6 linked regions of the Kluyveromyces lactis genome follow. The main gene of each other region encodes a partner of the protein of the gene in region 2 in a complex. Links are inferred from orthologs where the notes say so. Each region holds a gene or a part of one and is shown on either strand. Other genes may lie near its edges.

What was found.
Region 1: SWI1 (region 2) and SNF11 share a complex: the UniProt entries of both Saccharomyces cerevisiae proteins name them as parts of the SWI/SNF global transcription activator complex. The link is inferred for Kluyveromyces lactis from reciprocal best matches to the Saccharomyces cerevisiae genes SWI1 and SNF11.
Region 3: the proteins of SWI1 (region 2) and SWI3 are in contact, whole or in part, in a cryo-EM structure (PDB 7C4J), measured with the Saccharomyces cerevisiae proteins. The link is inferred for Kluyveromyces lactis from reciprocal best matches to the Saccharomyces cerevisiae genes SWI1 and SWI3. Residues at the interface, in NP_015309.1 of Saccharomyces cerevisiae: Arg670, Leu671, Lys672, His673, Tyr674, Asn675, Gly676, Tyr677, Pro694, Phe696, Leu697, Glu701, Leu702, Gly703, Gly720, Glu721, Thr724, His792, Asp793, Met795, Val796, Asp797, Ile799, Phe800, Val803, Asn804, Glu1197, Lys1267, Ala1270, Ser1271; in NP_012359.1 of Saccharomyces cerevisiae: Tyr310, Ile322, Gln325, Ser326, Leu327, Pro328, Arg380, Lys383, Phe384, Lys387, Trp388, Pro419, Arg420, Gly421, Leu422, Phe425, Leu598, Pro599, Phe600, Ser601, Glu604, Asn605, Lys702, Glu705, Lys706, Glu709, Leu710, Lys713, Glu716, Arg717.
Region 4: SWI1 (region 2) and SWP82 share a complex: the UniProt entries of both Saccharomyces cerevisiae proteins name them as parts of the SWI/SNF global transcription activator complex. The link is inferred for Kluyveromyces lactis from reciprocal best matches to the Saccharomyces cerevisiae genes SWI1 and SWP82.
Region 5: the proteins of SWI1 (region 2) and SNF2 are in contact, whole or in part, in a cryo-EM structure (PDB 7C4J), measured with the Saccharomyces cerevisiae proteins. The link is inferred for Kluyveromyces lactis from reciprocal best matches to the Saccharomyces cerevisiae genes SWI1 and SNF2. Residues at the interface, in NP_015309.1 of Saccharomyces cerevisiae: Ser659, Ile660, Val661, Arg662, Asn663, Tyr664, Lys665, Pro666, Leu667, Ile668, Asn669, Arg670, Leu671, Lys672, His673, Tyr674, Tyr677, Ile695, Phe696, Asn718, Leu719, Gly720, Asn723, Leu726, Asn727, Leu730, Val731, Ser733, Ala734, Asp735; in NP_014933.3 of Saccharomyces cerevisiae: Leu427, Leu430, Ile438, Lys439, Val440, Val441, Asp442, Ile443, Asp444, Asp445, Pro446, Val450, Asp451, Ser452, Phe453, Thr454, His474, Ala475, Phe477, Thr478, Ile479, Glu480, Pro481, His491, Glu553, Trp554, His555, Gln556, Asn557, Ser558.
Region 6: the proteins of SWI1 (region 2) and SNF5 are in contact, whole or in part, in a cryo-EM structure (PDB 7C4J), measured with the Saccharomyces cerevisiae proteins. The link is inferred for Kluyveromyces lactis from reciprocal best matches to the Saccharomyces cerevisiae genes SWI1 and SNF5. Residues at the interface, in NP_015309.1 of Saccharomyces cerevisiae: Arg662, Tyr664, Pro666, Leu667, Asn669, His673, Gly676, Tyr677, Asp678, Tyr681, Ile682, Ile685, Lys688, Ile689, Ser691, Asn692, Lys693, Pro694, Ile695, Phe696, Leu697, Phe698, Ala699, Pro700, Glu701, Leu702, Gly703, Ala704, Ile705, Asn706; in NP_009848.4 of Saccharomyces cerevisiae: Pro316, Pro317, Glu318, Ile342, Ile343, Asp346, Asn349, Glu356, Thr357, Phe368, Ser369, Asn370, Tyr373, Ile374, Leu377, Trp378, Thr380, Leu381, Tyr384, Gln385, Leu387, Lys388, Arg391, Ile395, Ile407, Trp408, Tyr412, Asn417, Ile419, Thr420.

The regions. Positions count from the first base shown.
Region 1 is NC_006041.1:899,251-903,037, forward strand, and holds SNF11 (Snf11p), read right to left. Parts: upstream 900-3,787; coding exon 501-899; downstream 1-500. Other genes in the region: IPT1 (inositolphosphotransferase), read left to right, coding at 2,103-3,707. UniProt on the Saccharomyces cerevisiae protein: Involved in transcriptional activation. Component of the SWI/SNF complex, an ATP-dependent chromatin remodeling complex, which is required for the positive and negative regulation of gene expression of a large number of genes.
Region 2 is NC_006040.1:1,041,261-1,046,797, reverse strand, and holds the start of SWI1 (Swi1p), read left to right. Parts: upstream 1-2,270; coding exon 2,271-5,537. Other genes in the region: snoRNP complex protein NOP56, read right to left, coding at 180-1,721. UniProt on the Saccharomyces cerevisiae protein: Involved in transcriptional activation. Component of the SWI/SNF complex, an ATP-dependent chromatin remodeling complex, which is required for the positive and negative regulation of gene expression of a large number of genes.
Region 3 is NC_006037.1:579,454-585,012, forward strand, and holds SWI3 (Swi3p), read right to left. Parts: upstream 3,836-5,559; coding exon 944-3,835; downstream 1-943. Other genes in the region: CCAAT displacement transcription factor COY1, read right to left, coding at 1-604; KLLA0_A06446g (uncharacterized protein), read left to right, coding at 4,340-5,206. UniProt on the Saccharomyces cerevisiae protein: Involved in transcriptional activation. Component of the SWI/SNF complex, an ATP-dependent chromatin-remodeling complex, which is required for the positive and negative regulation of gene expression of a large number of genes.
Region 4 is NC_006040.1:502,377-507,292, reverse strand, and holds SWP82 (Swp82p), read left to right. Parts: upstream 1-1,850; coding exon 1,851-3,383; downstream 3,384-4,916. Other genes in the region: KLLA0_D05907g (putative short-chain dehydrogenase/reductase), read left to right, coding at 586-1,467; KLLA0_D05863g (uncharacterized protein), read right to left, coding at 3,474-4,787. UniProt on the Saccharomyces cerevisiae protein: Involved in transcriptional activation. Component of the SWI/SNF complex, an ATP-dependent chromatin remodeling complex, which is required for the positive and negative regulation of gene expression of a large number of genes.
Region 5 is NC_006038.1:744,508-748,371, forward strand, and holds the end of SNF2 (SWI/SNF catalytic subunit SNF2), read left to right. Parts: coding exon 1-2,302; downstream 2,303-3,864. Other genes in the region: ORA1 (oxidoreductase), read right to left, coding at 3,010-3,816. UniProt on the Saccharomyces cerevisiae protein: Involved in transcriptional activation. Catalytic component of the SWI/SNF complex, an ATP-dependent chromatin-remodeling complex, which is required for the positive and negative regulation of gene expression of a large number of genes.
Region 6 is NC_006041.1:1,664,787-1,670,519, forward strand, and holds SNF5 (Snf5p), read right to left. Parts: upstream 3,939-5,733; coding exon 1,536-3,938; downstream 1-1,535. Other genes in the region: BSD2 (Bsd2p), read right to left, coding at 185-1,135; APM3 (Apm3p), read left to right, coding at 4,317-5,733. UniProt on the Saccharomyces cerevisiae protein: Involved in transcriptional activation. Component of the SWI/SNF complex, an ATP-dependent chromatin-remodeling complex, which is required for the positive and negative regulation of gene expression of a large number of genes.

The sequences.
Region 1 (3,787 bases), on a different chromosome or scaffold from region 2:
AAATTTAAACACTCATACAATGGAACTATTCCCCCAGTCCAATCGATTGATCTTCTATCTAATATTATAACGATGAGAATACCAATTAGAATCAGTGCTAATCTAAATATACTCACGAAGCACTAGTACGTTTAACGTAATTGACATACTTGTATATATTTATATTTATTTGTCCATATGAGAGGATTTGATAATGGCAATGGCAATGGCAATTGCCATTGTCATATCATGATGGCACGGACGGAAAAAAAATTCAGGAAACTTGAGAATTAAAGGGAATATCGAAGACAGATAAACATCTGGTGATGTCTGTGGAAGCCTATCAAGGACCGCAATCGTTCTATGCTTCATTGCTGCATTGCTGCATACGGTGCTGATACCGGAATGGAGCAAGTATTATTATAGGTAACTACAGAGAGCGTTAAAATGAGAGCGTTTTATCTATATATTATGTATGTACACACAGTGTACACACAATGTACGCACAGTGTTCGTTGAAGCTACCATAATTGGAACATTCTATTCATTAATAGATACATCTTGACCAGCATATCCTGTTGTCTTTCCTGAGCTGAAGCAGTGTTTGAAAGAAATGGGTTTGGAGGAGGGTCCATGATAGGAGGTTTTGCTGCTAGATTTCCTTGATTTATCTGAGATATTGTATGTAAGTTACAGTGTATTCTTTTCGTATATTGGATTAGTATTTGTTCCATTTGTTCTTTGGACAGCGACGCGAGTGTCGGTACCTGTCTGCTTTCGTACATGGTTCTTGTTTCTTGGGATTTTTTGATCAACATCGAGTTGATATGAAGAAGCACTTGTATTTTCCATTGTAGCTTCTGCTTTGGTGAGACTCCTGAGTCTGATTTCAGGTCTATTGCTGGGTTTAGATCTGTCATGCTGATCTAGGGTGGGTGCAGGGTACTTTTCCGTAGTCGTCAGTCAGTCGATCTTTTTATCTTTGAACTTCCTTCACTGTCAAAGTAGTAAGACGAATTAAAACGTGATTTGAATTATTTTCAAGCGGAACGAAAAAACCACTAAGTATCCAGTTCATAATAGCGACTAAAGGCACTCCAAGATCACAAAAATCCCTGGGCTGCCATATCTATGTACACTAGACACTCGTGCTCTATACGGTCACCTATTCATAGGACATAAGTTTCTAAGTTTAAAACACATTCAGTCACGTGTGTAACACGTGACTGATAAAAAAGAAACAGCAAGAGTTTCTCAGCCACTTTGATGACGAATGCTCTTCCTCCCTTACTGCCACCCCTTCAACGCCTCAAAATGCCACCATTACATAACTATAACTATCGATTCACATTATTCCCCCACATTATGAAATCCCAAACAATGTTTTCAGTTACAATAGAAAAAGCTCAGCCAACAAATTCTTAGCCTTAGGCCACAACGAAGGACGCATAAACTGAATTCCTACCTAATTCCATAGCCAGACGAAAAACGTACCATCTCTCAGTTTCTCTCAGTCAAGTTACCGCATATTTTCGTGGGTTTAAGTCACAAGACGGACCAGTTCCCAGCGTAGGAACCTCACCCATTTCTTTTCGGCCCTGCTGGCAGTACGTCCGATCAGAAAATCCACCATAAAACGGTTACCTTTCAACTGGAAACTCTTTATTACCGAAACTGTTCCTTGCCATATTAGTTCTTTTCTTTTCGAATTGCTTTACTAAATCCGCAGCCATCTTAAAATACGTAACTCTCTGCAAAATAAAGTATTAAATATATATACAAATATGTCCATCCATTTTGTTGATAGACGTTAATGCCAACTAGTAAATCTTGTTAATCTTGTGATGTTTGATACTTCATCTAGTCGATAACTTAAGTAGTGGCAAGGTATTAAGAGGAATCCAGGCTTAAGCCACCCGCTGTTTATTCTCTTTGCCTTGTGGTTTTTTTCAGGTTTTTTTCTGGTATTTCTCTTTTCGAATCATTTTGCATATCAAAAGTTTCTCTAAGGTTTCTCAAGGTTCTATCTCATCGTCCTTTGATAGTATTTAGTTAACAAGCTTTCTATTTGTTTGTCTGTGTGTGGATTTTCGTTTTCAGCTGAAAGTTCCCTACTCCAAGACATGGAGTGCTTACTTTGGATCCCGTGGTTCATCAAAAGGGTATATTTGGGTGGTGTAAATCAACGCAATGTCTTCACACTGGCTTTGAATTTTTGTTTGAATTTCTCACCAATCTTTATATGGTTGTTTATGTTCAAGAATGCAGGTGTCATACCTACCAATTGGCGACCACCCATTTGGGGTAGCGTCGCTTATTATTGTGATGCGTATATTTTTGGTGATTACTGGCATTCTCTTGATACCAGGTTGGAATTCGTGGTGTCTCTCGTGAGCAGTAGTATCATCGGTATCTTATTTGCTGTGGTGCCATTGTTCATCTGGTACTATGTTTATTATACCAAGAAATTGAGGCATAACCTGTTCGATGAGACAGACGTCTTGCTACAATACCCTTTGAATTATATCGGTTCATCTCAATTCCGACCTAGCAGGATGAGAAACGTGTTACCCTTTCTATTCTTGTTCTTTACATTTGTGATGTTGAATTTCGATCACCTTTTATCCAGTCAGGATCCGTCGAATTTCACCAAGTTCAAGGACTTATTGGCTTGGGTGATGTACGTGATTCTGCATCTCACTGGGCCCATTCTTACTGGTGTGTATTTGTACGTTTTCCACATCCCAGGTACGTTGAAATGCTTCTCATTCGCATTAGGTTTACAAAATATCGTTGGGCTCTTCACTCACTTTTTATTACCAATGGCTCCACCATGGTTCATACATATGTACGGTGCCCATGATACGGCTCATTTGAACTACAGTCAACCGGGTTACGCTGCTGGGTTGACTAGGGTCGACATGCATCTTGGAACTCATCTCAATTCGAATGGGTTCCATCTCTCGCCAATCGTGTTCGGTGCCGTGCCGTCACTACATTCGGCTATGGCTGTACAATGCTTCTTCTTCCTTTTGTTCAGGTCTACACAAACGAAATCTGTGCCGGAATCGATCGCTACGGATGCTGCTCCTGTCATTCTTCAAAAGGATGAAGATGATGACTATGAGATGGATGAAGAACAAGATGAAGAAGAACAAGGTTATACGAATGTTAAGGTCCAACCTAACAAATCCATTATTCCCTTCGAGTTCGAGGATGACGATTTTGCTGATGATAGTGACAGCGTCGAAAGTAAACTCGTTTCACATATTAATAGCATAACTTTACAAACAACTAACGGTGGGGATGACGACTTGGAAGCACGCGCAACGACTTCTGACTCGGATTCAGAACTAAATACGTTGGCTGTTGCTAAAATCCTTGCCAAACAGCAGGTTTTGCCAGTTCATATTCTAGAGTCCAAATGGCTCTACATTTTCCATAAAGGTCTGTTACCAAAATTTTTGGGTACGATTTTCGTATGCTTACAATGGTGGTCAACCCAATATTTGGATCACCATTTCAGATACGATTTATTCGTCGGTGCCGTTTATGCTGTAATCTCATACATCTTGATCAACAAATACGTCTTGCAACCAAAAGTTATCAAGCCTTGGCTAATAACCAGGGCTGATCCTACCTTGGACAAAATGAAAGAGTCAAAAACTATGGGTATGAGAGTTTTTGAAAACACTAAGATCGAATGGTTTTTCGATCCCTTGGCATGATATAGTTGAACAACAAAAATCAACAAACCTTCGGATACGGTATATCAAACGTCTCGTACGTTTGCATTGATTCATTTTTT
Region 2 (5,537 bases):
ACAAGTAGGAGCGTTAAAGGTGCAATTAAGAGCTTTATAATTATGAGAAACCGGAATGACTTAATAATGTAAAAGTGAAAAGTTAAATGTAAAGTGACGAGTTTAAACTGAAATATGATGAAAAAAAATAATAATAAAGTCGATCAATCTTCGGAAAATGATTGAAAAGTTGACACAACCTAATCCTTATTTTTCTTACTCTTCTTTTCCTTCTTATCCTTCTTCTCTTTCTTCTCTTTCTTTTCCTTCTTTTCCTTCTTTTCCTTCTTGTCCTTCTTGTCCTTCTTGTCCTTCTTAGACTTCTTTTCCTTCTTCTCTTCTTGTTCAGAGTCTTCTTCATCGTTAGATTCTTCTAGCTTTCTCTTCTTGGAGACTTCAGTCGTATCCACTTCTTCTTCGTGAGCTGGCTTATCTTTATTGTACAATTCGATGGCTTCCTTGATAGCAGATTCATTCTTCAAAGTTGGGGTACCAGAAGCATAGAATTCCAATCTTTGTTCAACTTGTTTCTTTAGCACTTGACCGAAAACGTTAGATGGTTCATCGGAGTAATTATCGATTCTAGAAGCCATAGAACATTTGTTAGCCAAATATCTAGAGATTCTACCCTTGTTCTTAGCACTAGCTTTAGCGATGAAACCACTGTGGTAAATCAAACCATACTTTGGTGTGTTACCTTTAGTCTTCAAAGCTCTGAACAATGCCTTTTCAGCACCCAAGATTTGGACAGTAGAGGCAGCTTGCTTAGAAAGATTGGTCAAAGAACCAGAATGAGAGATCAATCTAGCACCGATAACTTCACCGATCAATTCGGACAAGTTTGGAGCCACAGTGTGCATCTTCTCACATAGGTAATCGTATAATTGTTTCCTGTATTCAACAAGGGAGACAACTCTCTTAGCGAAGATGGTAACGTTTTCCATATCAGTTTCAGAAAGATCTTGACCCATAGAGATACGAGCGTTATCGATCACTCTTTCACTGATACCAGCATCGTTATCCAAAATTTCCGATAAATCGTGCAAGGATTCTTCGTTCAAAGATGCCTTATCCTTAATGAATAGAACGAGTTTAGCAAACTTGTAATTGTCTGGGACTAACTTTGCCAACTCTGGGAAATGCCAACCGTACCATTCCTTCACTCTCATGGCAAAAGTGTTGATATCCTTATCCAATTGATCCAAGAGAGCAATGGCTTGAATGATATGGTTATCGTTTTTCTGAACAGAGAACTTAACCTTAGCACGAGAGTAAGCATGACCCAAACCAAGTTGAGCTCTTTCCAAATCACCAGGTTGTAAATCTTTCAATAATTTGTCACCGTGTAATCTAACACCACGAATCAAATCCTGAGCTAACTCATTAGAAATACAATCAACAAATGGAAAAACTTCTTTAATGGATGGACCTAAGTTCTTATCAGAAATAGCCAAAGTAACAGTCTTCTTAGAAGAACCCTTTGGTAAATTTAAATCCAACAAAGCTTTCAAATGTTCAGAGACTAAACCTTCAGAAATATCATTAGCATTTTCCAAAGCTTGAGCAGCACCTTTGAAAGGAGCAAAAGAAACCAACTCAACTAACTTAGTGAAAGAGCCGAAATCATTGATCTGTTGCTGGACTTCCTTCAAACGAGATCCGATATCATCCTGTTGCAATTTCACTTTGAAGATACCATACCCGGTAGGTTCTTCGAACAAAAGATATTCAATAGGAGCCATTATTTAATTCTCTGATCAATAAAGTTTCCTCGCTACCGTAAAATCTCTTTGATCTGGACTCTTCAACACACACTAACTTCGGAATGAATGAACAAAACTCAAGATAATACAGACAAGTATTAATTGAAATATCGCTGTGCACATAACACAATATACAATATATTCACTGGTCAGAAAGCTCATCTCTCTTTATTGGCTTCGAAATGAAAATTTTCCAAACAAAAAAAAAAGAGCGATGAGCTTGAAAAAGAAAAGCAGAATGGGAAATATATTTTACTTACCCGGCCGCGGCCGGGTAAGTTATACACGTGATCGAATGTATTACCCGGATATAGAATAATTGACAAAATCACGTGACCTGGAATTTTCTTGTCTTTCCAAAAACAAAACAACGAAAGGAAACTCGAAATTGTATTCAATGAATTCAATTGACACTTGACTATCACTACTTTCAGAATGAATATAATTCCCTTGTTTTAGGTTTTATTTAGGCGTGATTTCTCTCCCCTGATATCAAGGGTCAAACGGTAACTTTATTGGTACATACGGATGGACGATCAGTTTTTGTTCCCGGACGAGAGTGATCCAATGAATTCTGGCGATGGCCAGCTTTTCGGTCAAGGAGGTTCGAACGGTGATGAGTACCTTTCCTTCCTTGATAACTCAGGCGCACCCAACCAGCAAGGTATACCTGATAGTAATTTAGGGCCGATGGAAGATGTTAACGCAGGCGTAACGCCCCAGGCTATATTGGCTAGAAATTCATTCTCAACTGTCAATTCACCTCCGTCGATGAAGAACGGTGGAGTCTCTATCTCTCCACAATCCATGTTTTCTCCAGCCGCAGGACCAATTCCTATGAATACAGCCAATGTAGCACCGACGCAGTCTCCCGCCGGCACTACTTCTTTACAGCAGATGTTATCGCAGCGTGGAACGCCGCAAAATGTGCCAAGTGGATCCCCTACAATGGCCGATGAGTCTTTAGCTCAGGCGAGTGCTAGTAGACAGAGCCCTCAGTATATGGATAGAGCCGCAATAATTGCTGCGCATCAACAGAGGCAACAGCAACAGCAACAAAAGCTACAGATGTTGCAACAACAGCAGGCATTCAACCAATTACAGCAGCAGAAACTAAGACAACAGCAGCAACAAGCACAGGCTCAAGCGCAGGCACAGGCTCAAGCACAAGCTCAAGCTCAAGCCCAAGCACAAGCACAAGCACAGGCTCAAGCTCAAGCCCAAGCTCAAGCGCACATACAAGCACAAGCGCAAGCACAGGCGAGAATGCAACAACATGCGCCTCAAGTACAGAATCAGTCTAATAACCAAAGAAACGTTCTACAAAATCTAGATCCAGCCATTCAACGGAAAGTCGGTCAGGAATTAAACACCAAACAGTTTGAACTATTTAGAAAATCATTTTTGGAACATTGCAGGAGAAAGAATCAACCCGCAGATATTGCTCAAATGATTAATGGTACCCAGGTCAGTTTCTTCATCTTATACATGTATGTTCAGAAGCTTAACGGAGGAGAAAACGTCACTAAAGCACAACAATGGCACATATTGGCGAAAAAGATGAATATACAAGGACCAAATGCTGGAGAAGAATTGGCAAAGACGTACTACAGATATTTACTACCGTACGAAAAGTACTTGATGACCCCAGAAGGTATTAAAGAAACTCAAACCAATCGTATCATGTTACAGCAATTACTTCAGGACATTATAAGAAACATTAGAACGAATACACCGCAGTTCCAACCGCAGGTGCAAAATCAGTCTTTTATGCAGGGTCAAAACGTAATACAACCGGATTTACAAATGAAGCAACAACAGATTCCTAAGGCTCAAGGCAAAACAAAGAACACCGTCCCAAAACAAGCAAAACCTAAACAGCCTAAGAAGCCAAGAGTGAAGAAGAAGACTAAGAAAGAACTAGAACAGGAAAGAAAACAAATGGAAGAGCTGCAAAAGCGTCAACAACAAGAAGCGGAGCAACAACAGCAGCAGCAAAAGCTCATATTCGAACAACAATTGAAGAAACAACAGGAAATTATTTTGAAACGTCGTGAAGAGCAAATTAAGAAGCTTCCGAAGGTGTATAAGAGAACGATGGCCAGGCATTATAGTCCCACCACAAGAGCCATCACCACGCAAAATGGGTATGATATTTCAAAGATTTCAGCTCTTGGTGAGATGATACATAATTTTAAACCCATCTTCCTCTTTGCGCCGGAGTTTGGTGTCGTCAATATCAATGCAATTGCAATGCAGTTACAAAGTTCTAATAACCCGGAAGTCAATACCGCACTAAACTCATTATTAGTTATTAGCTCCGATAACACTTTATCAATTCCACTCGATAAATGTCGTGAGCTTTTGGATAACCTCTGTATCTTGGCGTGTCAGTTACTGCATAAACTATTGAAGAAGGATTATTCAAGGATATCAGGGTCTTATACTGAATATGATGAACAGCAGTGGATTAATACGCCTCCCAAACATTCGGATTCCTCTGATACTCATATTGATAAAATTTTCAAGGAAAGCGTCAAAAAATCTGGAGAAGATCAATCTGAATATACAGTAAAGGTAGACTCTTTAACTGGTATAGATTTTTCTCAACTTCCGATCACACCGACGGAACCAGAAATAGAAGTCGATGCGACATTACCTGAAGTCTCACTGGAGAAGGACGAAGATGAGAATGATATTGAATACTTACCTGATTTGTTGAAAGACGAAAATCTCGATGAAATCAAAAAGCTACATTTCATTTCATATATGGATTCTCTAACTAAAGTCAAAACGGAAGTCGGATCCATCTTTAGCAAGTGTCACCGTTCTGGAGCAGAGGATCCGCACTTGTTGATTGTTGACCAATTGACAACAATTTCAATGATCTTGAGAAATCTTTCATTTAACGAACAGAATTCACAGGTAATGGCTAATAATTACCACATGGAAAAATATATTGCAGATACTCTTTGGATGGTTTTCATTCATAGAGATGAGTTTATTTTTGAGCGCAGGGTTTTAAACTTCAAGAAGGATTTGATTTTTATTCTATCTAATATTACACATATGTTGAAAATTGAATCAACAGTAACTTGTTTGTTAATCATAATGCTAGCGTTGAGCTTCGCTGATCCGAAAGATCATATTCAAGAGAATAGCGTCTTGACATATGCAGAGTACACCATGAATGTTGAAAAATGTCAGACATACGGTGCGGACGTCTTGGCTAAACTTCTTTCTCTTGGTTACCCAAATAGAGCACATTTTAAGTCAGTATTAACTGGTGTTTTCACTGAAGAAAATGACGATGATGACATATGCCAGCAGGTTTTAGATTTGTATAACGGGGACGAAAAATTCAAGTTGTTTAATGACATTTTCTCTTTTATCATTTCCACCATCCCCTTCCAACAAATCAATAAAATCCCTAATCTGATTGAAGACTCACTTCCATCTATTTTACAAGCTCTGACAGCTGCTGTTTGCATTGTAAAGTTTATCGATGCTCAAGAGGAGCACTGTATTTTCAAAAATCATAACCTCCCATGCAAATGGCTCACAGCAGAAGAAAATATTGGAGTAAGCCTTCGTAGAATTAGCGAGGCTCTTGCTAATATTGCAATGCAAAACACTAATTTGCGAGAGTTCAAGGACGTTTTAAGTATTATCAGTGGTACAGCTATTCAGTTGATTAGGCTAATGCTAGAAAAGAGTCTTGAATTAGCATTGATTTCGGATCATCCAAAATTAGCTAGAAAGAAGATAATAGAAGAGTTGTCACAAACCCCTAAT
Region 3 (5,559 bases), on a different chromosome or scaffold from region 2:
AGATGCTATTGGTATTTTTCAACGTTTCTAACTGTTTCAATAATTCGTCCTCTCTATTATTCCAATTACGTTGCTTTTCTTCCCATTTGGATGTAATTTCTTTCTCTTTGGCGATTAATCTATTGGATAATGTCTTAGCCGAATTTTGTTCAAGATCCGATAATCTTTTCTTTAAAGTGTCATAATCGGCACACTTGCTAACAATTGCCGCCAATTTTTGGTTTTCAGCTTTGATATCATCGACATTTGTGCCATCTTTCTTCAGTTCCTCTACAATAGACTCTAGGATCCCTGTTGGGTCCGGTTGTTCAATTAACTTCTCATATAATTCGATAACAACCTTTTCGGAGAACGTTGATCTGGTAGTCAACGAATCAATCTCCTTCTGGTATTCTTTCACTAATTTCAAAGATTGGCTAGGTTTCTCATCATCTGGCAATTTCTTGTACTTCTTGGTCTCACTGGCTAACGTTTTTCTTGATTCCAAGGATGAAGTTTCTAAATCCTTTATCTTAGCTATGCTATCATCAAGTAACGATTGTATACTGCTGAAGCCAGCTTCTTTCCACAATGACAACGCATGCTCATATGTAGACAAATTCATCGCAGAACTTGTTACTGGGTCCTTAATAATGCAAATCCGACCTTTACAACGAATACCAGTATCATTCAATTGTTCTGATATTGGGAATATTAAATATCGTATTCGTGTTTAGTTAAAGCTATTTTTTTTGAAGGTTTCCAATATTTTCATATTTTAAAGACAATATAGCATACGGACATAATTCCTGAAGACAAGGTACAAAGGAAAAAACAAGTAGGATTTACTCCAACGAAGATGTTGCATTTGGACAAGGAGAGGCTTGACTTTTTGTGTTGTTTCAATAGTTTAAATTAATATAATGTTACGAGGCTATATAATACATGAATATTGTCTATATTATTAACCTGACCAATAACGATATAACTGCGGTGACTCAATCGATATTGGTTTGTTGGCGGAGTCTAGATCATCAGAATCTTGTAGATTACCCGATTGGGATGTGATACTTGTCTTTGGTGGATCAGCAATTATGGTACGTAATTCGTGTAATTGCTGTTTGATTTCTGGAGATTCCGGAATTTGCTTCAGTAAAGATTCAAATTTTCCCATAAGAGAGTTGGCATACTTGGTGAAGCTTAGCCTTTGAATGAAAACATCTTCTTGCTTCCTATGCACAGCCTTGCGCTCTAGTTCCAAGGATTTTTCCATGGTATCAAGAGCCTTCAACTTCAAATCGACTTTTGTTAGTTGAGTATTGATTAAATCATTTGTCGTCCTATTCATCAATTTTTCTTGGTTGGTAGCGAATACATGAGAGCGTAGCCCCAAGGTAGCTAGAGCGACTTCTGTGCCGTCCTTCACTGTTATTCTAGCATCAGATTCAGCATTTGTGACCGTTACTGCTTGTTCTTCTGGCAGCTCTTGTTTTTCCGATGGTGTTTCCTTGTTTGATAATGCTTCATTCTCTAAAGATTCTTCTTGATGAGGTTCTTCCACTGGAATCGCTTCTTCTTGACTACCTTCCTCTTTATTCTTTTCTTCCGCTTTTTGTAGCCCTTCTTCTCCTGTTTTTTCAGCTCTTACTTCTGTTGCTTCTTTTTCTTCATTCTCTGGTGTATTTGCATTTTTCTCATTTGAAGTGTCAACAGTTACATCTGAATTTGCTACTTGTTCTGCTGCTGGAGCAGTTCCTTCAGTTGCTGTGGAGTGATCTGCGGCATTTGAATTTGCAGGTTCAGATTTTTCAGCTCCCGTTTCTGTATGCTCAATTTCCCTGGCGTCAGTTTTTATTTCTTCTTTTTGTTCTTCTTTTGATTCCTCTGTTTGTTCTTCTTTTTGTTCTTCCTGCCTTTCTTCTGCGTCTTTTGCTTCCGTGTTAGCACCCGTATTAACATTAATGTCATGAAGAGAAATGGCCCTTTTAGTCAAATGCTGAACAATGTTAGGATCGACTAACCCTATTAAAAATGCCAACGTACTCATTACGGGGTTGTCAGATTTATTGAAAGGAATATGAGAACCAAACTTCAAGAGTCCGAGATCTTTTTCATCCATCAAAAATGCATCTTCAATAGGCAATTGTAAAAACCTTAAAATACATTGCTCCGGAGTCTTTGTTCCTAGAGTTTTGGCAATGTTAAACCAATCGGTGCCATGCTCTTTAATAAGTTCGATAAGTTTATAGATTTCTTCTTGGGTCCAATCTTTGTCAATCAGTTGAGAAATCTTTGGTCTTTTGGGTTTGCGATCGTTTCTCTCAAGGTCGGCATTCACTGGAGACTCCTTTTCATCCTTCAGGCCGTAGTTCTCTGGTCCCACAGAACCCGAAGCCGTTTTGTTAGTGATACCATTAACGTGACTGGATCCCCCGTTTGACAAATCTTGAGTGTGCTCACTGGAGATTTCATCACTAGTCCTTTTCAAAGATGATGGTTCCGAGGGTTTGGTGTCTAACTGAGTCATTATCTTTTTTAAGCGGGTCATATCAGGAAGTTGTAGGGCCGGCTTATAAGATTGGAATGGGAATAATCCACGCGGAGCATCGTATCTCGTCTCATATTCACCAGTGAATGGGGGTTCAACCATTTTAGGTTTCTTGGTAGCATTTACTTGATAGTTGATCAATCCCCATTTGGTTAAGAATTTATGTAGTCTGAAGAGGGCGCCCGCGTCTCCACAAAGGTTTCTTCTAGCTGCAGTGACTGTGAAGTATTCATTTGGATTTAGTCTATAAGAGTTTACCATGAAGTTACGATATTTGACGTACATCTGGGGTGTCTTTGAAGGTATTCTATTAGTGAAGAATTCCGGTAAAGATTTCACTTCGATTTCATGAACTTTGGTCAAATTAAACCACTTCGAGTATGAAGGGATTACAATTTCATGGGATTGCGGTACAAATAATTTTGGATCAGCAGTATTACTTTCTTGCTTTACGGTTATATTTGATTCAGGAGAAGCTGATCTCGATTCTTGTTCAAGAATACTATCTACTTCAGGTTCTGCTTCTGCTTCAGTATTGTGCTCTTTATCAATTTCTTCATCAACTGTTGTCTCTGTTGTAGTATGTACTGGAGCATCTATACCAGAATCGGGCTGCCCTAAGTCCTTCACGTCTGGTAATTTGGGGTTTTCAGTAAATGATTCTGGTTCTGGTGCTGGCTCTTGTTTGTCATTGGCAGTTTCCAGTTCGTTCTGTGCAGGTTCTACCTCGCTCTGTTCAGTTTCTATATTTCCAACAGGGTCATTGTTCCCCTCGCCGTTCGAATCGCTTTCCTTTTTAGTTTCTGGCAACGCGATTTCGTCATTCTCTTTATCCATTTGTTCGTCCTGTTCTTGTTCTTGTTCTTGTTCTTGTTCCTCATTACCTGCTGCGGTAGTATCGTCTTCTTTAGATGGGGATTTCAACAAATCAGATTCGGATGCTTCATTAGCAGGGTTTTGTTCCTCGGGTTCTTCCTCAAATAGATCTGCATCGTCCGCGTCACCGTTCTCATTATCCAGATTCGATAAAAGCTTATCGTTTATTCCTTCAGGGAGGTTTTCGGCCAATGGTGCATCGCCGAACTCTTCAGGGAAGTCTTGCGGCAAAGATTCTGAGAATTCGTTACCAAAATCATCAGGTAGATTAGGTTCAACGTCCATGTCCAAGTTATCATCAATTCCTCCCATATCTACATCCTCGGTATGGTCTATCAAACCAGGTTGTTCTGACGTGTTTTGGGTATTCTCTACTGAGCTCTGAGTTTGTGCAGACTCAAGAACAGAGTCCCGTTGTTCGTCATCTGCCATTAAAAAATCCGTGTATAAACTATAATCTTCCTCAGGCGAATTGCTTTCCTTCACTTGTCAACAAAGAAGTGGAGTCAGAATAACTGATGAGTGATGACAAGCTGAAAAGTAGTAGCAATGACGCGAAAATTGATCGATGCTTTAGATTGAACTGGCCCAAACCTGACTTAATGTCTGTTTACTTGAAATTGTTTATTTTAACATTGTTAAAACAGGACGAAACATCTTTCCTAAGGAAGACCATTTGTGTCCGGGTAATAGATGATACCTTTGTGCACGTGATATGTTAAGTGTTAAGATCCATCTATACGAAAGTATACGAGATAGAAAGAACTATTACGTGACAACTCTTTTATCATATACGAGATAGAGAAGTACAAATAGAAGAGAAGAATCAATCTTATGCCAACTCATAGGATGATTAGGCATTATATAATGGAAAGATGATGGTGGGGAGAGGGAGGAATACAGACCACACAACGGTGTATAATAAATAGTCAATTGATGTCAGATACAGATAATATGAGCGAAGGAATATCATCATGTCAGGGTAACACTGAACAGAGAGCTTCCGGGACTCAATATGGTAGCGCCACAGGTTCAAACAACAAAAAGCTGTTCAACAATTACTCAATCAAGGAAGTAACAGATGAATATAGTTCGAGTATTACACGGTACCTAAAAGATAACATCTTTAGTCCTTTCCCGTGTGAAAAGGCAAAATATGATGTTCATATCAGAGAGGTCAAAACAAAAGACTTCTTAGAAAAATGGTTGTTTGATATTTATAAATACTTCACTTATTGTGGGTATGAAGATAAGTTTGACTTCTCAAATACAACTCTATTCGACGGTATCAATTCAGATCAAGTCGCATGGTGGCAAGACGTATATGAAAGAGTAGTATCTCTACCAGAAAACCCAGAATGGTTGGAAGCTCATCGAGAGAAATTCCGTGAGGATTATGCCGACATTCCCACCATTGCTATGGACTATATCCATAAGAAATACAATCCTTATTTACTGGAGCATAGAGTCAAATTCTTCGAAGTAAATCCTCGTTACAAGGTGAAGGGTTTAATAAAAACTTTAACAGACTTAGTTGAAGCTTTCAAAAAATGCAATTTACCTCACTTGGATACTATCCTGGCCGACAAAGTGTACAGACATATTATGATTTACCATGGTTTTGATAGCATACATCCCATCAGCAAACCACCTACAAATCAAACCACTGAGATAATCCTAGAATTAAAGAAGGAATTGAGGTTTAGCAAAATGACTAAACAAAAGAGAACACTCGAAAACACTGATAGGAGAATCGATGACAGGAATAAATCCTTCAAACAACGGAATAAATTCTGGGACTAGAAAAATCCCAAAAACTACAATGGTCATCCAAACAATCTTACAACCGACAACTACTGATTCTTGGTAGGAGGAGTGGAGGATAGGATATAAGTGGTTCAAGTATCAGATAAAGACTACTTTATAACGGATGAACCTGATCCACAAATGGATTTTCATATAATAGTCAATTTAATGATTAAAGAGAGTCCGGACTCCAATTTTGACCGTATGAAACAAAAAGGACGTTTCTACATTTCCTCAATCCAGGCGTTACAAAGTGTACCACGGATAGCACAGACCAAAATAGATAGATCACTAAGCTATCAACAGGCACTCTCAAGGAATGATAACCACACTGAACGTAAACAATTCAG
Region 4 (4,916 bases), about 540 kb from region 2:
CCGTATTTATATTTGATATTTATATTTTTTATTTATGTTTCTAACTTTACTTTGTTTCAGTGCAATTTGTGTGCACCCTTCTGAGCATACTGTTGAAAATGGAATTGTCGCTGACTGTAGAGCCAGGTTAACCAAGCAAGACATTCAGTCGCTGCGCAGTGTTGTCAAATGTTGATGAATACAGTCATCTGGGAAACGAAGTTTGAACGAGATTACTTTGAAGCAAACTCTCCGTAGGACCAATGCAATACGCGGTGATTGGTGGTTCAAGATAGTTTTACATGAGATCTTTCAGTCACGTGATGGAGGCGGTTTTTCAAGGGGCCGGCCCCTCATAGGGGTGATGGTTGACAGCCAAACCAGTTCACAATCTTCAGGACGAATCGCAATGTCATTAGTCAGACATATTGTCGATAAAAGATCACCGCCGTAACTAATAAGTCGAAGAAATCATATATAGATACTATTTAAGGTAGCTTAGTGCAACGTTGATTGCAGATATGCAGCTTGCACAGTAATATTACCAAGAGTCAAGGGGGAACTATCTATTGTAATTGCATCGGACTAATCTTACATCAAACAACCATGAAGACCAATCCTGATATTGTATATACGAAGGCTCAAAAATTGATTGAACTCAATTTAGATAATAAATATGTTGCTATCGTAGGAGGAACGGGCGGTATTGGCCGTGAGTTGGCAAGAGTGTTGGCACAAAAGGGTGCTAAAGTCATCGTTGTTGGTAGAACGTTCAGAGACGAAAATGTTGAAGGTATTGAATTTATCCAGGCTGACCTAGGTTTGGTGTCAGAGGCATCCAGAGTTGCGGAATTGTTACCTGCTGAAAAGTTGGATCTTCTTATCTTCACTACGGGAGTTTTGGCTCCTCCAGCGAGACGTGAGACTAGCGAAGGTCTAGAAGAAGATTTGGCCGTCAGTTATATCAGCCGACTAGTGATGATGAATCATTTGGTACCCAGATTGAAGGAACATGGTGAGAAAAAACCTCGCGTATTTGTAATGGGTTTCCCCGGTGATAACTATATGGGAGATTATAGAGATTTGAATTCAGAAGAATCTTACGGAGCTATTTCCACACATATGAAAACAGTAGCCGGTAATGAAGCTCTAGTTTTGGACTTTAAGAATAGGTTTGCTACTGTCAATTTTTATGGGTTGAATCCGGGGCTCATCAGGACAAATATTAGAGATAATTACCTTGGTAAAGACACTTGGAAGTCAAGAGTGGTAGAATGGTTCATAGGTATGACAAATCAGACTGCAGAGCAATACGCTGAAAAGTTAGGCCCCTTGCTAGTTGCCCCAGAATTGGAAACTCATTCAGGCGCCATGTTTGACAAGAATGCTAACCCGATCCTTCCATCAAAAGATTTTACTGATGATTACGCCAGGAATTATATCAAGGCCTCAGAAGAACTTCTTGCAAATCTTAAGTTGGCTCAATGAATGACACTACCAACATCTGAAGCCACCGGCACTATTATCTAAGAATCCCGTTTTATTCCTATATTTTAGATACGTTAGTTTGTATGTAACCTAACTGTCGGGTATTTGCTGTGTCAGTTGCTGGTCATCACGTGATCAGTATCTTTATGTATTTTCCATTGTTTTGAAATTGGGTCTTTTCAACATGTAATCTAACTATCGAATGCCTGTCATTAACATAAACGTAAACATATGCATATCTTTCAAAGTACATCGTGAAAGAATTCAATAGACGGTATAAGCTGCGACACTTTCATCCATCCTAATTATATTTGGAACACCACGAGACCTTTCTGGCTGTTGAACAGGATACGTTTATTTGTTTATCTTCACATGCTGGAAAAATGGACTCCAGTACTAACTCATCTGTCACTGCTCAGGTGAATCCGGTGCCAGAATATGTCATAAAGAACCATGAGCTTTTTATTTTGAAAACCACATTATCAATACTCAATAACCCTGAATTACTCTCCGGCAGACTTGACAAGCCACCAACAAAGCAACTTGTACTACCTTCGTTCACCATTAAGGAAAGGTTATCAGACAACAATGACTCTTATGTTTTGGGAAAGGGTGATCAAAATGGGGAAACGAAGGTTGATAAACAAGGACGGTTACATGGAGAAAGGCATTACTTGTTTCCTACTTTCACTTATCCATGTGCGGAAAACAATAATTCGGAAAATTTGTACGTCTTAGTACGGGATTTGATTAGAGTCTTGAATCTAGATGTGGAACAACAAGAGTTTTTGGCTCAGCATCCAGACCTTTACCCAATTAATGCAAAACATGATATTATCGAATTTTTGACCCAGTATAAACTTTTACCTGAAGGTGCTACTGCTGCAACATATATCACAGCTAGATCTGCTTTTCTTGTCTTTGGAGCTGCTATACTAGCATCCGGATCAAGAGTGATAGATGATTACTGGGAACAACTATCCAAAGAACAGGGCTTCCAAGCGCAGCACAGAGTATACGCACTCTCTCAAAAACTTCTCGACATGGTATGTTCGATCGATCCAAGGACTAGAACAGCACATTCTTTAGGTCCACCTGAGCTTCCTGAATCGAAGCAAGCACAAGCGGGCGTTATGTCCACATCACAACCGCAATTCGAAGACCCGTTTTCAACCATTACGGAACTACCGCCTTTAGAAGCACGTAAAGAGTTCTTAAGTAATATTGCTCATGGTGAGCAAACTGCAATCATATCGGGTCAAACTATACATGGAGCAATCGAGTTGAGTACTATTTACAAAATTCCAAAATACCACTATAAGAATTCCTTCGCCGCTGCTCAACAACACAATGTTCTAGATTCCCCGATTGGAACGCACACCCACCCGGTAGAATCTCATAACTTTGGTAGAGGACGTAAAGCTAACTATGTTCCCCCGGAGGAGACAGATGTGTTGGCTCAAATTCCTGGATGGAAATTTACGCAGCTACCAGTTACAACAAATGATGAGTTACCTACAACTTTCAGTGCTGGAGGGTTACCGATATATAATAAGGCGAGACTTCCTGCAAGGTTAAAACTATTGACGCCAAACCAAATAAAAGATTTAGAACGATCCCATGATGTTGTTCATTTGAATACAGCTCTTGGCCATGTCCGAAAGTTAAGAAACACCCGTTGGACTAAATTTTGGCAGTATAAGGCCGGTGCACCTGTTGGCCTTACGGAGGATCAACTTTCGTATTACAAAGAGCAATATCTACAGCAAGTTTTGAACCATGTTGATGTGAGCATTGTGCCAAACGAAACGAAGAATGTAGATGAAAAGCGTACCGTTAAGCGAGTACCGAATCCAAATTTTTTGGGATACTCCAATGTGTCAGGGTTTAGGCCACCTTATGTTGAAAAACCTTAGAATAATAATGCAACTTCATCTATATCGAACTAAATACTGCTAGTAGAAAGCTATGCAATAAAGCTGCAGATATATATAGAGGATAATTCATTATAACAATTTAACTTTAACAATGTCTTGACGAATTTTGAAAGTGTAGTATGCCATAACTAAAACGATTAGTATTAGAGGCAAAATCCACATTAAGAGTCTCTTGACGATTTCGTCAACTGAAACGCCATTTCCAGCATTTTCCATGCTTTGTTTGGTGGCCTCTCTAATCTTTGCTTGATCCTGAAGTAATTGCTCCAACTTATCATTCATAACAAAGAGGTCCTTGAAGGATTCTGTATTTACTTCACCTTCTTTACCCATTGAAGCCACAATAACTTCTAAAGTAGTTGATAGATATTCTAGCTTTCTCAAGTGCGCTGCTTGATTTTCCAAGATGCCAATTAATTTACCGTTTATCACGCTGATGTCATTGGCTAATATCTTGCCCTCAATCTTATCCAATTTCTTGTAAAGTTCGTAGTTGTCCACCTTATTTGCTAAACCCTTCATTTTCATGAAATCTGTTTCTACAACGTCTTCTTTACCAGTATCCTTGTTGATAATCTTTGTTACCAATCTAGGCTGTTCCATAGGGTTAACATTTGGAATTGTAACTTCTTTAGTAAGACCGTTATGAGTATGTACCTTCAGGACTTCAAATGATTCCTTGTTAGCATCATTCTTTGCAGTGATACCCATCTTCATTTTCGCATTTTGTGGGAATTGAATTTGTCTGGTTTGGAAACACACCCTATTATCGACTTGAAGTTTCAATAGGTTATTGTTCTTCCTATCATAACTCAATCTGATAGTGGTTGGAATAGTAGTATCCTGATAGGCTAACAAACAATAGGCAAAAGAATGATCGTACACATTTTTTTCAGTCAATTTCTTAGACCCGTCGTTCAAGATACCACGAACAGAACTACCCACGGGCCCATTGGAATCCACCAAAATTTGAAGCCCATCAAACGCCTCTGGTCCACCGAATAAAGAAGTTCCTCCTGCACTTTTACCCTCCACTAACCAGAAGGACAACCCACCTTCAGATTTCCCTATAAAATCAACACTTCTGAAAGTCCATTCTATGGTGAAGGAGTCCTTAATTTGATAATCAGTCTTGTGCCAAATCGAACTTTGACTGGATGCACTTGGTGTTAAACGAAGTCTCCCTTCCTCCAAAACCAAACCTCCGCTGGTCTTCCAATCTGAAGGCACGGCATTCATGTGAACCAAATCAGGTAAAGAATGACTGGCATCTAGTATATCGTTATCAGACACGGCACTTTCATGTAATTCCGCTTCTGCAATTGCAGCTGCATTTGCAACGGTAATGTATGCGAACAATACAGCCAACCAGTGGACAAACATCTTTTGTTTCAAACGATGTGTGCTGCCCTACACTATTAAGATTGAATTCACTCTACAATAGAATAACAAGAGCAATATCCAATTCACAATACTTGTTCAACAAGGGTTGTAGGTTCCTTCTCGTTTGTT
Region 5 (3,864 bases), on a different chromosome or scaffold from region 2:
AATGGAACGTAAACCTAAACAAGCGTTAATCAAAAATCGTGAATTTGATGTAGTGTTAACAACCTTCGAATATATTATCAAAGAGCGTCCATTACTTTCTAAGATAAAATGGGTTCACACAATTATTGATGAGGGTCACAGAATGAAGAACGCTCAATCTAAGCTTTCTTTAACTTTGAACACATATTATCATTCTGATTATCGTTTGATTTTGACTGGTACCCCTTTACAGAATAATTTGCCAGAACTATGGGCCCTTTTAAACTTCGTTTTGCCAAAAATTTTCAATTCTGTGAAATCTTTCGATGAATGGTTCAATACACCGTTTGCAAACACTGGTGGTCAAGACAAGATAGCATTGAGCGAAGAAGAAACTTTATTGGTCATTAGAAGATTACATAAGGTACTCAGACCTTTCTTGCTTCGTCGTTTAAAGAAAGATGTTGAAAAAGATCTTCCTGATAAAGTAGAAAAGGTTTTGAAATGTAAGATGAGTGCATTACAACACAAATTATACCAACAGATGTTGAAGCATCGTAGGCTATTCATTTTTGATGATTCAAGTAACCAGAAGTTCTCTAGTTCTCGTGGGTTTAACAATCAAATCATGCAACTCAGGAAGATTTGTAATCATCCGTTCGTATTCGAAGAAGTGGAAGATCAAATCAATCCAGCAAGGGAAACGAACGATACCATTTGGAGAAGTGCCGGTAAATTCGAACTGCTAGAACGTATTTTACCAAAGTTCAAGGCTACCGGTCATAGAGTTCTAATTTTCTTCCAAATGACGCAAGTTATGGATATCATGGAAGATTTCTTGAGATATCTTGACATGAAATACTTAAGATTAGACGGTCATACTAAATCTGATGATCGTACTGCATTATTAAACACTTTCAATGCCCCAAACTCTGATTATTTCTGTTTCCTTTTATCTACAAGAGCTGGTGGTTTAGGTTTAAATTTGCAAACTGCAGATACCGTTATCATTTTTGATACTGATTGGAATCCTCACCAGGATTTACAGGCCCAAGACAGAGCTCATAGAATCGGTCAAAAGAATGAAGTGCGTATTCTTAGATTAATTACAGACAATTCAGTGGAAGAAGCAATTCTTGATAAGGCGCATGCCAAATTGGACATTGACGGAAAAGTTATTCAAGCAGGTAAGTTTGATAACAAATCAACAGCTGAAGAACAAGAGGCATTATTGAGATCGTTACTAGAAGCTGAGGAAGAGGAAAAGAAAAGACGTGAGTTAGGCATTGAAGAAGAAGAGCAGTTGGATGATAACGAACTCAATGAAATCTTGGCGAGAAACGAAAATGAAATAAAAGTATTCCAGGAGTTGGATGCTCAAAGGATCAGAACACAGATGGAAAACGGTATAACAAACAGACTTATGGAGAACTCAGAGCTTCCTGAATGTTACAATGTTGACATTGAAGCAAAGCTTGCAGAAGAGGAAAAGCAGAACGTGTTTGTTGGAGGAAGAGGTAATAGAGAGAGAAGAACTGCGCACTACTCTGATGAATTATCTGAAGAACAATGGTTAAGGCAATTTGAAGTCAGTGAAAATGAAGATGAAGAAGGTGACGCTGGCCCAAAGAGAAGGAGAAGGAGAGCCGCTGAAAATAATGCTAAAAGGGCAAAACTTGAGACAAACAAAGAACTTGACGGTCCAGCTACAGGAACGGAAAATACTCCTGTTTTAGATCCGCAAGAATCAAATGGAGACTCTGCTCCATCTGGTGTTATTGCCGGTAAAACTTCAATTAAGACTGCAAAGAAGACCAGCAAGGGTAGGAAGAAAACTTCAACTGCCGTTCGTAAGAATGGCAGAAACTATCTGCGTTCAGCAGATAATGCTACAAAAACTTTGAAAGAAAGACAAGAAATTAGTCAAAAAGCTCGTGAATTGTACGACTATGCTGTATACTATAGAAATGCCGATGATAGAAGACTTTCAGATATTTTCCTAGTGAAACCATCCAAACGACTCTATCCAGACTATTATTTGTTGATCAAATATCCTGCCGCATTTGAAAATGTCATGAAACACATTGATCTGAATGTTTATGATTCTTTGAAACAGGTTGTCGAAGATTTCCATTTGATTTTTGCCAACGCTAGAATATACAACACAGAAGATTCAATCATATTTAGGGACTCATTGGAGTTGGAAGATGCAGTGATCGCGAAGTGGAAAGAAATGACAAACGAACAAGAAGAGGTGGACTTTAGTGAATTTGATGAAGAGTTTGCAACTCCACCCTTGATACCACCATCTACACCTGTATAGTGTTTTTTTTTGGAAGAAGATCACGGAGACTACACTACATAAACTATAAAACATATAGCTAACTAAACACTAATTAAAAATGTAATCATACCTAACATAATAATAGATATTTGAAATTTCAATCCTTTTCCATGTAGGGCTGATAATCTTCGTAATGTTCAAACTAAAACGAATAGAAATCATATTAGACAGTTGGTGGAACAGGCCATGCCAATATAATAGGTGGTTAGCATTGGCTTTGCGTAACCGACACATGACAAAGCATATAAAGGAATACTGAGCCTAATCTACTGTTTGCTTGTAATCAGATCAAGAGGTCCCTGGTGTATTATTACTGCCGAAGATATACAGCCAACGGAGACCATTACACGTGACTTGTGGTCTCTGATGCCATAATAAAATAGGAAGGGCATAAATTTCTCCTTTTTCTTTTTATGACAACAATAAGCTTCTATGGCCAAGTTGGTAAGGCGCCACACTAGTAATGTGGAGATCATCAGTTCGACTCTGGTTGGAAGCATTTTTTTGAATTTAATAAATGCTCAAAAGAAAAAAGGCTGGCGTTTGGGCTTAATCTTTACAGCAAAAGAGTCCATATCCAGTTATCAAAACTGTTGTATTACATGTGCTACATGTGTTACTAATTGTATACCTGTATAAGTTTTTTTAAAAATGTGTTACACGAACACATCTTCTGACGTGATTATCTATTCGCCACGGTAAATGTGGTAAGGAGATGCTTGGTTGGAAGCAAATACCAAAACATCAGCGATGACAGTATTAGGTTTTCTTGAAGTGGCATAAACGATCAAGTCAGCAATGTCATCTGCATATAGAGGAGTAGTACCTTTGTAAACCTGTTTAGCACGATCGGCATCACCCTTGTATCTAACTAGAGAGAACTCAGTTTCGACATTACCTGGAGCAATCTCAATGACCCTAATACCAGTATTGATTAATTCTTTTCTCAAAGACTGAGTGAACGCTCTGACAGCATGCTTCGAAGCACAATAGATAGAACCAGTTGGATATGCATCTCTACCGGCAACAGAACCTAAGTTAACGATGTCACCGGAATTCTTTGCTTTGAAAATAGGCAAAACAGCTTGGGTAACGTTGATAAGGGCAACAACGTTAGTATCTATCATACCTTTGATGTCCTCGCTACTGATGGTACCGACAACATCAGATCCCAAAGCTTTACCGGCATTGTTAATCAAAATATCGATATCCTTGAATTCTTCCGGCAAGTTATCAATGAAAGGTTGAATCTTCTCAGTTTCAGTGACGTCCAATTGACCGATATATACTTTAGCTTGTGGGTATTCAGCATTGATTTTTTCCTTCAATTCTTCCAACTTAGCCAACCTTCTTGCTGCTAAGATCAATTTGACATTACCGTTAGCAGCATCTAGATATTCCAATGCTGTGGCTTGACCAATACCTGCAGAAGCACCGGTAATGAAAATTGTCTTGTTTTGCAATCTTTCAGCAGCCTTTCTACCTTGAGACATGATTAACGAGTATTGATGTGTATTGGGCTATTATATATAGAATGCGAC
Region 6 (5,733 bases), on a different chromosome or scaffold from region 2:
ATTTATTTATGAGTGTAGTAGTGTTAAACTCGAGAGTTTTGACCCTGCAAAGGGTGTCTTTAAGCTGCAAAATAGAATAGTGAATAAAAATGTGAATAGGGCAAAAAACGAATTGAATATATGAGAAAAGGTTGAAAGCAGTTAGTCTGCTAATGCTAATATCATGGAAGTCAAAAAGAGGATTTTAAACTTCTGCTGTTGCTGTTGCATCTTGCAAGAAGCGTGCCTCCATGCGTTTGACCTTAATGTAATCCCAGATACTCTTGATTATTATGAACCCACCTAACAGTATAACGAATATGGCCAATGCCGGTGTGTGCCGCGTCTTTTCCATTACTCCATGAGAAAGGTCCGATTCGAATTCATCCTGAGTAGAAGTACTTGTATATAGACGAATCTCTTCAAACGAATCTGGATTATCAAATGTAAACCTGTTCAATTCATTATCCTTTCCTATCTTTCCTGAAACATCGTTCGGTATCATGGAATATCCGTATCCAATGAAAGTTACCCCAAGTCCAAACCTGGACCCTTGCCTAGCTGCATGTGATGTATGTAAGATATAGGTCAACAAGAACCCGACAAATTGGAAACTGAAGCTGACCACAACGTTCCATAAGAAATTGAATATATTCCCAACTGGAAGGCCGTCGATGCAAATTTCGTTGTAATACAATCCAACGCCATCGTCGTCTATACCGTAATATGGTGGAGCCATATCAGCCGCAGCCTCGTCATACGTAGGAGGCTTATCCTGTTCCCCATTCCCATTGATACCGTTCCTTTCAGGTTTCGCCATAAGATTACTGAATACACCATCAGAACTCGCCCCGACTTGTAACCTCATCGCTTGCTCGCTTGAACTGCCGCCTCTAAACAGTCTATCTAATATATTGAACTTTCGGGCAACAAAGTTCAAATGTTGTTGGAACTGCCCATTCATCTGGTGCAGTCTAGAAGACGACGAAGTTGTCCCTGTTTCCACATCATCAGCTCTTGAAGATTCGGTTTCTGGCTGTGTTTGCAGCTGCGACTGCGATTGTGAAGGAGACAAAGTCACTGAGGAAGATCCACCGACTTCATCTTGGCTCCTGCCAACGCCACTTCCGGCTACGAATTCCGAATGCTCAGACATACTCGCCGCGTAGATAATCTCAGTAAACTCTACTACCCTCGAGTAACACTCAAATATGGCTGCTTTGATGAGTTTGTGGCCTCTGCATACCAAGTTTCTTAAAAGGGTTGGTTCGTTCAAATGTTAACGTTTCCATTACTAAATATATTTTTTGGTTTTGAGCTGTTTATGAAATTTAGAGGCTTACACCATAAAGAATGAAACAGGCACACATAAATATCGATATACGTAGAGGTGCGTGTCAAGACCCTCGAGTAAGCCCGCGATCATCGGCGTTCGGTCTCTCATAGCTATCTTCAGTGCTCTTTCTTCTAGCTTATTTATCATAGTATTTCTTAAAATTGTTACAGGTGGTACCACATAAATACATATGTACATATATATATATATAGCGAATTACTCATTGAATGGTTGTCTTCGCCTTTGGTAGCTTTATAGTGACGAGTAAAGATTTCCCAACGTCGTGCATAATAACTCTGCATGCTGATGAGTTTCTTACTTCCTGTTGGAATTCTTGTTTTGGAGTTGCTTTAGCTCTGTCTAAATATTCGACTCTAGTTGATGGCTGGAACGATAACGTACTTGGACCAACATCAATACCTCCAGGCAAAGTTGTTGTTGGAAGTAGTTGACGGCACGTTTTTGGGATATCCCCAAGATCAGGAAGTTCTGCATCATGGGGTAGTTGCGGTGTACTTCCGGACGATGGGTGATTTTCTGTATTGCCTCTTCTATTGAAACGAACTTGTCTACGTTTCCTTCTAGTGTCTCTGTCCTTATCCTTAACCAAACGTTCTAGTTCTGCGGGAGATATCTGTAATAAGTTAGGTGTGTATAAAAACGTATCCTTTTGTGGTCTCATTACGTCTGCTAAGGTGAGTACAGGCAAGAATCTTGTTCTGATATCGTCTTCTTCAACGGGGCTACCGTCAAATTTGTAACCAACCATATATAATGACTTGTGATACATGTGAACTTGTTCTCTAATGCAATGTGCAATTGCTGTTAAGAATTCACCCGGAAGGGATAGTTCTTCGCATAAACACTCCGCGAACGATTCTGGACAATTATCTGGATTTGACACATCCCATTCAACGGTATCTATCAATTGATGTTGTCCAACGACAATATCTAGGTTGATTTTTATTCTGAAATCATCGCCCCCGAACCTCTGCACATTTTCAAAAGGATTTGGAGTATATTCTTGAAGTTGTTCTTTGATACTATTCACAATCTGTTGATACATCTCCGTGGTGACTTTGAGCCTATAATCCTTCAGCGTTGTTTTCACAAATTCGTTGATTGACAGTAGCGTGTCTGATCTGTTCCATACGAATGTGTCCCTCAAAGTAAATTTATCCTTTTCTGCATCAAACTCTAATCTAACAGGTACTAGTTCCTCCCCTGTTTGATTCATTGTCCATTCATATATTTCGTCCAAGTGCATTTCATAAGTGTCATCGACTTGAATCCTTGTGAGATCGTTACTGAAGCCATTTCCATATCCAGAATAACCGTCACCCCATATACTCTTAGATTTATGTCCTTGAGTTGTGTTGGTAATGGATTGCATTCGACTGTTCCTCAATTCTTTGTAATAATCAAGATCTTGCTGTAATCTCAATATTACCTCCCTCTGACTGAATCCGAATTTGGAAATAGGTTCCAATCCATTAGTGTCCGCCAACAAGTTGTCCTTATCCAACAAATCCCGTTCAATAACATGTTCATATAATCTTGTATCAAAACTCACAGGCTCGTTATCAGCTCTTTCTTTCTCTGACCATAACCTAGTATGAGGTAATGGAGTCTCAGGTGGGTCTTGAAGAATAGTTTGGAATTTGGGAATATCAGGAAGTTGTTTCTGAAACTTCTGAAGCACTTGCTGTAGTATTGCAGCTTGTGATGGTTGAGGTGGCTGTGGTACTGAAACTGGGACTTGTTGTTGTTGTTGTCGTTGTGGTGGTTGTCGTTGTGGTGGTTGTGGTGGTTGTGATTGTGGCTGTTGTGACGAAGGAACCATCGATTGATTACTGTTCATAACTGGTATATTCTGAGTTATAGGTTGACCTCCAATCATTTGTTGTGGATTCCCCATTTGTTGCTGAAGTGGTATACGAGGTTTCTGAGGTTGAGGCTGTTGAAGCTGCGGTTGGTTAGGAGGAATAATGTTGCGTGGCGGGGATTGATGTTGTTGCTGCTGAACAGGTTGTTGTGGTGGTACAGGCTGTTGTTGCTGTTGCTGTTGCTGTCTATGTTGTTGCTGTAATTTGACTTCAAGCTGAGTGATCATCAGAAGAGCGTTCTGGTTATTTCTCGCAATAGCCTGTTGTTTGATGGACTGAAGCCATTGCATTTGCAATGCCGGTGATAGTTGTGCAATTTGTGGAGGAAGATTCAAAGAAGTTCGTTGTTGAGATTGGGGAGGAGACTGCTGCTGTTGCTGTTGAACCTGCTGTTGTTGCAATTGCTGGGCTTGTTGCACCTGCTGAGCTCGTTGCTCCTGTTGCTGCTGCGTCTGAGATCTCTGCATTTGTTGTTGTTTGAGCTTCATTAGCTGCGCACGCTGAGCAGCATCCAATTGGTTCATATTACCGGGAGAAGAAACCTGTTCTTGCTGCATCTGCTGTGCTTGTCTTTGTCTCTGCAATAACAACTGTTGATGTTTCTGCTGAATCATCTGCAACTGCGCTGGCGTCAAGGATTGTAGGATATGTTGTGGAACCTGCGAAAGCGAAAAGGAAGGCGTCCCTATGTTACTCAAAGGGTTCGCATTGCCAGGATTCATTGGTGGGTTTGACATTCTCCTTTCAGCTTATATAGAGAAACAAAACTGCAACTAGTGTTTTCAATTGCAGACAGAAAGGGAAACACAGAAGGAAACTAGTATATTCTTTCTTGCGATAATTCTCAACCAAATGCTGTCAAATATACCCTTTCTGAAGCCTACCTGAAAGGTGTTCAGTTCCCTTAAAAACAAGAATTTCTTGTTGATCTTTAAAGTTTGTTGTTGGTCTTGTTCTTTCGTTCTTTGAATTCATGAAATTCACGAAATTTTGATTAACGATTAAGAGAAGTACGAGATGGAACAACCTAATGAAAAATTAAGGCAAGCAAACAGGATACAGCGGGTTATCCGCATATAGTTGGTTATCATAGTGAACTTAAGCAATTGGCTACAATGATTGTTAGCATATATGTCAATGATAGGTGCCAGGAAACGCTATTCCAGTACTCAACAGTAGCAGAGTGCCCTACTTTTCGGCAACTAGTTGTTAAACTACAAGGTAAAGACGAATCATGGGAGTCTAAATACTGCAATGAGATAAATTCTGAGTTGAAGCTTTGCAGACACGTTTCTTTGCTGAATCCAGTTGTTTATTGGTGTTTAATTTCGTGTTCAGAGTCCACAGTTTCCGTGGTATCTTTGTTAGAAGAGATAGATTTACTGTTGTTACAATATTTCGATAAGGACCAATTAACGAAGCAGAAGATAAATAATAACCTCGATCGATTATCGATGCTTTTCCATTGTATCCTTGATGCTGGGCAACCGGTGATAACAGACTCGAACCGTTTAAAGGCAATGGTCCCAAGTAGAAACGATTTATCGAAATTGTTGAAGACGACAACCAATACAATTACCAAGACCTTACAACAACCGGACGGGTCAATGTTTAAGAATGGTCCGGAAAAATCAAGGTTTAGTGGCAGTAGATATCCATCTTCATCCGCTTCATCCGTTTCCTCGTTCCACGTTGGGTCTCCTGGCTCCTCGTTAGTTGATCATTCCGTTGATGAATCTGGTGTCCCATGGAGAATGAGCGGCATCAACTATGCTAATAACGAAATATTCATCGATATGAGTGAGGAAATTAACGCTATTGTGGAAAAGGGGAAACTGTTAACCGGACATATCAAGGGTTGTATCGACTTAAACAACCATCTCAGCGGACAGCCATTGGTTGAGATGAAACTTGGGCTCTTAGACCACAAGCTTAGCCACTTAAACACGACTTTCCATAGATGCATCTTAGAGGATAAGGCGAACAGCATAAATGATTTAATCGCTGGGAAATTCACTAAGCTAACGTTTGTACCTCCTGATGGACGTACTAGGCTCTGTCAATATACCCTACCGTTGGTGAAAAGAGACTCAAACCTCGGCATTATAGACGTAAATTTACAAAGCAGTTTAGGTAAAAGACTTGACGAATTTGAGGTCCGCGTCACCGTTGGAATGAGCACGACGGTGAAAGAAATAGAAAACATGAGCATGACTATCAGGATGAATAGAAATTTTAAGGGAATAGTACGTGTCATGAGAAACACTCACGGCGGTGTCGAAACAAATATGACTCGTGGCGAAGTTAATTGGCATTTGGACAAAAACATGGTATGCGGTTCAATGGCTGTACTACGTTGTATAGCGGAACTGGAACCCGAACTCGCCTCCAATGACCAAACATCTAGTAGATCTTCGGTTGTTCAACCACCTAGTTCACACTTAACATCCTTACTACAACCTAGTTTCATCAAATGTTACTACGAACACAAATCCCAGCTTCCCTCCGGAATCAAACTTCAATCAATCGACG